Linked DNA regions of Cricetulus griseus. The protein of the gene in region 1 purifies or fractionates together with the protein of each later gene. This does not show direct contact. Links are inferred from orthologs where the notes say so. Each region holds a gene or a part of one and is shown in the gene's direction. Other genes may lie near its edges. The genes, in order: Acvr2b and Inhba.

Evidence for each region.
Region 2: the proteins of Acvr2b (region 1) and Inhba purify together in Homo sapiens (affinity purification with western blotting; 3 studies listed by BioGRID and IntAct, with this or other methods). This does not show direct contact. The link is inferred for Cricetulus griseus from reciprocal best matches to the Homo sapiens genes ACVR2B and INHBA.

The regions. Positions count from the first base shown.
Region 1 is NC_048597.1:226,508,286-226,512,092, forward strand, and holds part of Acvr2b (activin receptor type-2B), read left to right. Parts: intron 1-429; coding exon 430-624; 3' UTR 625-3,807. UniProt on the Homo sapiens protein: Transmembrane serine/threonine kinase activin type-2 receptor forming an activin receptor complex with activin type-1 serine/threonine kinase receptors (ACVR1, ACVR1B or ACVR1c).
Region 2 is NC_048596.1:238,811,659-238,816,160, forward strand, and holds the start of Inhba (inhibin beta A chain), read left to right. Parts: upstream 1-1,578; 5' UTR 1,579-1,781; coding exon 1,782-2,169; intron 2,170-4,502. UniProt on the Homo sapiens protein: Inhibins/activins are involved in regulating a number of diverse functions such as hypothalamic and pituitary hormone secretion, gonadal hormone secretion, germ cell development and maturation, erythroid differentiation, insulin secretion, nerve cell survival, embryonic axial development or bone growth, depending on their subunit composition.

The DNA.
Region 1 (3,807 bases):
CTCTGAGGTTGTGGGGAATAAGGTAGGCCCTGATCTCCTTCCCACCCTCACTGTTGCTCAGATACTAAATGTTGGGCCTTTGTGTTTGTGCTTTGTGTACAATTTGATTTGAGATCCAGTGCTCCAAGGCTAGCAGCTGTTTGTGTGTGTGTGTGTGTGTGTGTGTGTGTGTAGTAAAGGGAGGGGGAGAGGGTTCCCCTTCTTCCTGTTGAAGTTTAGCAAATATTTCCCTGGAGCTGTAAGGGCAGTCCAGACTCAGTGGGGTGACTGACAGGAGAGCAGGGTTCTGAGGGCCTGCAGCCTTCTAATTGACCTGCAATGGGTGTGGTTGGGACATAGGCTCCGCCCATTCCCTGGACGCATCATCACTTGCTGCCCTCACTGTGCAGCCCTAACAAGGGTTCTTCCCTCCCTCCCACTCCTCTGCAGGGCCTGGCCCAGCTCTGTGTGACCATTGAGGAGTGCTGGGACCACGATGCAGAGGCTCGCCTCTCTGCAGGCTGCGTGGAGGAGCGGGTGTCCCTCATCAGGAGGTCGGTCAACGGCACTACCTCGGACTGTCTAGTCTCTCTGGTGACATCTGTCACCAATGTGGACCTGCCCCCTAAAGAGTCCAGCATCTAAGCCTAGGATATGAGTGTCTCTCCAGACTCAGTGGATCTGAAGAAAAAAAAAAGGAAAAAAGTTGTGTTTTGTTTTGGAAATACCATAAAACCAACAAACACATAAAATGCAGCTGCTATTTTACCTTGACTTTTATTATTATTATAATTATTATTAATAATATTATTTTTGGATTGGATCAGTTTTTACCAGCATATTGTTCTACTGTATCGCAAACAGCGGACGTGTCAGCAGGCGTTGAGGTGCTGAGCTGTGAGTGCAGAACCAGCGCCATGCTGAAGAGCCTCAGCCACTCCTGTCCTTCGGGATGGATTTTCCCCAGCGTTCTCTTTGTTGTCTCAGAATCTGTAACACAAAGAAACCCATCTCCTGTCTTAGGAAACTCAATGCTGCAATCTCTACTAGAGGAACCCTTGAAGACTGTTACATGGACACACACCCTTCCTCAGAAGAGCCCCCCCCCCTTTATTTTGTGTCTCCCTTTTCAGGCAGTGAGCTTAAGAAATGGCAGATGTGTCTTCATGGATCTAATGGGTGTCATCCTGACCCAGCAGAGGGAAAGCGAGATGAGGAGGGTGGTTTGGAAGGGAGGGTGGTTCTGGGTGGGTTCGGAGCAGAGCTACACTGGACTTGGGCACATATGGAGCAACACCCTTGGCTATGGAGGCTGTTTTCTCAGGTAACAAGGGGTGGAGTACAAGGACCTTATGGGGGCTGAGCAGCAAGCACAGGGTCTGGAGAAAGTTCAAGGGCAGGGCCAGGCTGCCCCACCTGCCCAGGCTCCTCCCACTACCTTGGGCTTGGCTGTGGGTTGGAGGAAACACTGCCTCGCTTGTGCGTATATTGGGACTAGGTGAGGGCGTGGCAGTTTAGCAGACATTCTTCATTAGACACGATGCTGTAGGTCTCTTTTATGGAGGAAATACCAAACTGCAGTTTCCTCTTGGCAGTTTGGGGAAATGCCCATGGTGCCCCCTGCACGGTGTGGGTAGCCCAGAGGATCCCTGGGTGGGGACCTTGCCGGCCTGCAGCTCTGGCTTGGCTCTACGCAGCGGCATCACTGGCTCCTTTCTGAGGCTCGTGAACACGGCTTTCTCCAGACCCTTTAAAGTGGTGCATATTCTAAAGCTGTTTTTCTATTACGCCATAACCTTGCTCCAGGCCGTGAATGTTCCTAATGCTGCTGTCTCGACATTGGATTTTTTTTTTTTATTTATGAAACATGCTAAAAAATTTTTTTTTCAGACAGAACACACACATCCACATATGCACACATACTTTGCTGTGTGGCTTCCGAGGTTGAAATTTTAAAAAGTAAAAGAAGTAACTTCACGACCACAGACCACCTCAAACCAGAAATACCTCAGAATTTTCTACTTGTGTACGTTTTATTAATTATATATTTTGTTAGTCGTGTTGTCTTGTAGGAAGTATATTTTAATGTAAGTTGGCTTTTATGACAAGGAAGTTTAAAAGAAATAGAGAAAAAGAAAAAAAGTCTGTGTCTTCTAGTCAGCACTGCCTTTTTATTTGTGAATATTGTCATCAGCTCTAGGTGGCCATCTGAGCGGAGTCTGGGCGTTCGTCACTCTGGTTTAGACCATATTATGCAACCAGCACATCTTTATCTTGAGGGCAGGCCACTGCCTCCTGGGTTGTCGAGAGGCCCAGGTGTTGTTCCAGAAGTCCCCTGGGTAGTTTTCAGGATGACACCCCTCCTTTACCGTGGCAGACCCAAAGCCCTCAGGCCCACTGCAGCTGGCACTTGAGGGTTAATTCCCTTGGCAGCAGGTGGGCTCTGCAGTGCCTGTAACTGTGCTGTGAAGTCTGGGAGAGCATAGCTCACAGCTGGGCAGCCGCTCCCCTCAGCGTGTTGTGTGGTGCCTGGGGGTGGGGTGGGGACGGTCGCAGCCCTGGGCTTGTTCTTTTCTGTGGGTGTTTGTGCACAGGCCAGCTGGCTTCCCTCTCAGACCTTGGTCTTTGTTTCCATGGATCACTGTGGGCTGGCCGGGTAGTTAGGGGGACATGTACTCTGTTTCCGTAAGCTATGTGTGTCCCTTCCTCCCCTCCCCCATTTGATTTTGTGCTATGTGGTATTTTCTCCTCTCAGAATACTGTTTTTTTTTTTTTTTTTTTCCTAGCAAAACAAGTCTTACAGCAGTTGCTTTTCTTTTCCGCTTATTTCTTTGAGAAGCTTTAAATATTTATTGAAAAGTGCCATATCTGCTTTCTTTAGCTTTCTCCTCAGGCAGTGGGACCCTCTCTCCTCTTGACCCTTAACAAACAAACCACTAAGAAATGCAGCTATTTTGCTGCACGAGTGACCCAGACCCAGCCACACGCTGTGCCAAACACTAAACCCAGCTTCCTTGTGTGTGATCTCGTGACCCTGGGTGGTTTTTCTCTCGTGTGCTGGCTTGGTTGTCACAAGCATCCTGACCTCTGGTGTGGGACATCCCAGTCGTGATACTTTGCAGGCCTGACACCTTTTCTGGGGGCTGTCTTCCCTTGCTGCTGACCCTGTGTCCAGCCACAGCAGTGTCCTTGTCAATCCTCTGTGTCATTATAATGGAGTGTCTGAGTGTCCTGGAAAAGGGAGGGTCTGGGCTGGAGACTGCTTCGAGGCTTCAGGTAACATACCCAGTTGCTCATGGCTGGAAGCTAGGTGATTCTCCAGGGTGTGGCCTGGAAGTTTGGGTGGCCCCTGTTTTTCTTTCTTCTCGTGTTCAGTTGGGTTGTGGGGCCTCTGCCTTGCACTGTCCCACAGATTTCACGTCACTTTCCCTGGATTCCCATCTCCCCTAAGCTTTTTGGAAGCCTGAGGAAGCCCCTGTGTGTGGAAAGTGCTGAGAATAGTCAGGGGAGAGAAATAGCTAGAGACGTCATTCTTCCTTCACTGCATGTAGTGGTCCAGACAGGCTCCATCTATTGCCAGAGATCTCTGTGACTATGTCAGAGAAGGACAAAGCAGGTGAAGAAGACCCTCATTGATGGAATGTCAAGGAAGGCTGTGAGTAGTCTTTAGCACCTGGGCTAACATGGGCTGGCCTGGTATCAGGGCACCAGATGCAAGGGAAAGTGTTGGGCCTTCTGCTCACAAGCCACAGCAAAGGGAAGCTCTGTCTCTCATCGCTAGGCTACCAGACTTGCTGGGTGAGGGCTGGGCCAGCCTTGCTGACAAGG
Region 2 (4,502 bases), on another chromosome or scaffold:
GCTTTAACAGATGGGCGCCTTAAAGATACTTCTGCAAGATAAAAGCAATAAGACAGAAAATGAAAAGGGGGTGTGCAAAATTAAAAAAAAAAGCCTCAGAAAGGCATTGTTTTAAAATGCACATTTGTCTTGTTCTGTGAGCACTGTAATCCTTGATGATTTCAGCTCTGCTGTTACTTTGAAGAGAAAGGAAGCAGCCAAGCAGGCTGCCATGAATGCTATGGTTAATACTAGGGGTGGGGGCAGAAAAACAAAACAAAACTAGCACATGCCAGAGAAAAATAATTTGTCAACATATTTTAGATATTCTTTCCTTGTAGACCAGTTATTCACACCATAAGAGCACACTGTTTTTATGAAAGAATGTGAGAAAGGCCAAGTGAATTCTATGCTTTATCTCTGAAGCCAGGACAAGGGACAGTGGGCTATAATATGTGGATATGTGTGTATGCAGGGCACACACACACACACACACACACACACACACACACACACACACACACAGAGAGAGAGAGAGAGAGAGAGAGAGAGAGAGAGAGAGAGAGAGAGAGGTGAGTACCTTCTCTGATTAGGGTGTGTAAAATGCTGCTTGCCCAAGGGAGCTTCCAATGCCCTGCTGTGGTGCCCAGTTGGCAAAAGCAGAGTGTATTATATGACCCCAGACAAAAGTTCTGCTGCGCTCCAGGTCCCATTGGATCGCCTGCTGGCATGAGGACCCTGGACATTTAAATATGAATGAATGGCAGAAAGGAATGGTTCTGGATTCTGTCAGGCAGAACAACCAGCTGTCTCAGGCAGCCCCTCTGTCCCAGGTCCAGTCCCCTGACCTGTGTGATCTACGGAGGGCTTCCCTCAGCCCCACAGCAAGGTCAGGTGCGTGCTTACTCCAGGGCAGTGCCAGGCCATGGGAGAGGACTTTGGGGGCACACTTTGCAATCAAGTTATCTCAGGGAATGGAGACAGTGCATTCAGTTTGTTTGGGTTTTCTCTTCCAAAGAAGGAAGGTGAAACGGACTGAGCAGAGAGAGATGAAAAGAAGAGGGGAAAAAGTAGAAGAAAAAGAAAGAAATCCTTAGACCAAAAGTGAAGAGCCTTAGGAGCATGTATTGCAGAAAGGGCTAAAGAATCATCCCCCATGCCCAGAGAATGGTAGGATTTGAAGAGAGGTGTGTGAGGGAGCAAGGAAAGCAGCCTGTCAGAAAGGGCTGTCCCTCCTCTCCAGTCCCAGCCCTTACACACAGCCGCCCTCCCTCTCTCATTCACTCACTCACTTAGGGCCAATCCGTGCTCTCTCTCTCTCTCTCTCTCTCTCTCTCTCTCTCTCTCTCTCTCTCCTTTCCTCCCCTCCCCCTCCTTTTCTCCCTCCCCTCCCTTGCTCTCCCTCTCTTTCTCCCCCTTTCCCTCTGTCTTCTCTCCCCCTCTCTCCTTTCTCCCTGTCTCTCTCCCTCCCATCCTCTCTCAGTCTCTGTCTCCCCCCCACCCTGTCTCTTCCTTCCTCCCTCCCTCTCTCCCTCCCTCTCTCTCTCCCTCCCTCCCTCCTTCCTTCTCTTTTACTCGGAGACAGTCAGAACTCTCCTCCCTGACAGCCACAAACCTACAGCACTGACTGCATTCAGAGAGGGAACCTGCAAACAAAACTTCACAGAAAACTTTTTGCTCTTGTTCCAGAGAATTTGCTGAAGAGAAGAAGGAAAAAAAAAAGTCCAAAAGAACCTGTGCGTGAGGGGGGGAGGAAAAGCAGGGCCTTTTAAGAAGGCAACCACACGACTTTTGCTGCCAGGATGCCCTTGCTTTGGCTGAGAGGATTTCTGTTGGCAAGTTGCTGGATTATAGTGAGGAGTTCCCCCACCCCAGGATCCGAGGGGCACGGCGCAGCCCCGGACTGCCCGTCCTGTGCGCTGGCCACCCTTCCGAAGGATGGACCTAACTCTCAGCCAGAGATGGTAGAGGCTGTCAAGAAACACATCTTAAACATGCTGCACTTGAAGAAGAGACCCGATGTCACCCAGCCGGTGCCCAAGGCGGCGCTTCTCAACGCGATCAGAAAGCTTCATGTGGGCAAAGTGGGGGAGAACGGGTATGTGGAGATAGAGGACGACATTGGCAGGAGGGCCGAAATGAATGAACTCATGGAGCAGACCTCGGAGATCATCACCTTTGCCGAGTCAGGTGGGTGCTGGCGTTGGGGGTGGGGGCGGGGGCAGGGAAATGTATTTCGTTGACAGTCCTAGCAGGAACTTCTTTCCCTCCCGCTGGAGACTGCCCGGGAAGGTTATTAGTTATTAGGTGATGGTGGCGCCGGAGAGGCAGAGGAGGGGGAGAAGACTTCTTTGCCAGGGAGCCCTGCCCCGCAATGGCTAGCTTACACTTGCTAAATAAACTCAGCGGTTACCCAGAGAGGAAGCTCTTGGGCCGGTCTGGAGCTGTAAGGTAGTCTGCATGGGGCTTCCTGGCTGCTCTGCCTAGGAAGCCAGATCAGAGCAACCAGATGAAAGCAGGGCATTTGGGGGTTTGGGGGTGCAGAGGCAGCATCTGGACCCCATCCAAAGTTTTTCTGGGGTAGGAGTGAGAGTGCCTGGGGGCCGGGTGCAAAGGCACCGATGAAGCCACTGTCTGAAAACAAATCTGTTTTAAATGTCTGATCTGGGGGCCGCATCGGAGTCAGACTTGGGCATATTTATGAGTGACAATCATTTTTACCTCTGGAAAGCCTGCCTCTGTTCACAACCTACCCAAAACAGCAAAGAGCAACTCCCAGGGTATTGGGTTAGTTATGACTTTTGGAACACTGACATACTTGCTTTTGGAATAAAAACAAAATAAGAAAAACAAAAGCAACAACATCAACAAAAAGCCAAAGAACCTCACCCCCCCAACCCAGTTTTATTCTTTGTAAAGTTACTAAGAACTTTTTGCCAAGGAATGCAACCTTCACAGTGTGCTCTCATCAAGATGAGCTACTCAAACCTTAAGAGGAAGAACTTGAACAGATTTTAGTCATTGACTCAGGACCACACTAACCTGTTGCTGAGTAGAAAATACCTGTCTAAAGCTGAAGCCCTAGACTTGGAACTGGCTGCTCATAACACTAGGAGGAAACAGATCTTACTGCAAGTCTATAAGTTTGTTGAAGCTGGCGTACAGATGGGTTAATAATACCTTTTCACTTTCATGGTAAATGCCAGGCTAAGGAATAGGATCTCTTGCCAAAGACAGTTGAAAGGAATGCCATTGTTTTGTTTGGTATAGCAGCATATGGCTAGTAAAGTATGTGCAGGGACTCCCAGCATTTTGTTTAAAAGTTTGCTGCAGCAGTATAAACAATTAAGGCAACACTCAAAATTTCCAATCCTGAAAACCTGTTGACTCAGATGTTCTGTTTTCGAGAAAGCCATGCAAGACCTGGGCATCCTTGTGGGGGAGGGGAGGGTAGGAACCCATAGGCTGCTGGCTTGGTGGCTTCCTCCTTGTAAGAAGCCTTGCTACCCTCGAAGTTTCCTAGAGAGGTGAGCTCTGTCCATGTCCTACTTTCTTACCTACCAGATCCTTTTTGATACAGTTCCTCAAACCTTAGTCACTGTGACTTTATTTTCTGAACCTGACTGAAGAAAAGAATTAAGTTGCCTCTTAATTTTCTTCAGCTTTCATAATTGGAAGGTGAAAGATAATCTTTGTAACATTGGCTGGTGTGTGGGGGAGTGGGATCTGTGCTTCAGAAGATTGGTCCTGGGCCTCACATGTTCTTATATGCAACCTTCACCCATGTCGCCTCTATTGCAGTTTCTACTAACTTGGTTTTAACTGTATCATGTGACTAAGTATACATATGACTTCCGCCATGTTTAACTGCACAGTGGTTGCCAGCACTCTATCCTTCCCTCTGATTTTCTGGGCTTGTATAGAAAATTCATCGCTTGGCAGTTAGAGATTTGGCAAAGAATTGGGCCATTTACACTCTTTCTTACTTATGGCCTTCTCAATGCTAATGGCTCTCAGTTATATAGGATCTTGTCATTTTTGCTTTTCTGTTGTTCAGTTTGAGAGAAAATGAGCTACTATTTACGACGGTGATTCACTGGACTCACACATTGAGTGTAAAATTCCTAAGTGGAAACTCCTAGTCCAGGAACATGATGTGTTTGTTACAGTTGCTTATTTTCTCATGTGAAAAGTAGCACACATCGACTTCAAGTTGATTTAATATAATTTCACAGATTGTAAGTAAGGACATATAGTATAGACAATCTACTCTCCAAGCAGTGTAGAGTATGGCATAAGCAGTTTACTTAGGCAGGGAACATATTTATCATCTGATTAATGAGAGCAAATATATGAAAATGAACTGTAAAGATCTGTATTGTTGCTTTTGGAATAATTCTACTTTTCTACGTAGTACATTTACATATTTCAAGACTAGCAAAGGGCATGTGCTTTTCTTCTTTCTTTATAACCATTTGTACAACAGAGAGTGCAGTTGATGAGTGTCACCTGTAAGCACACCA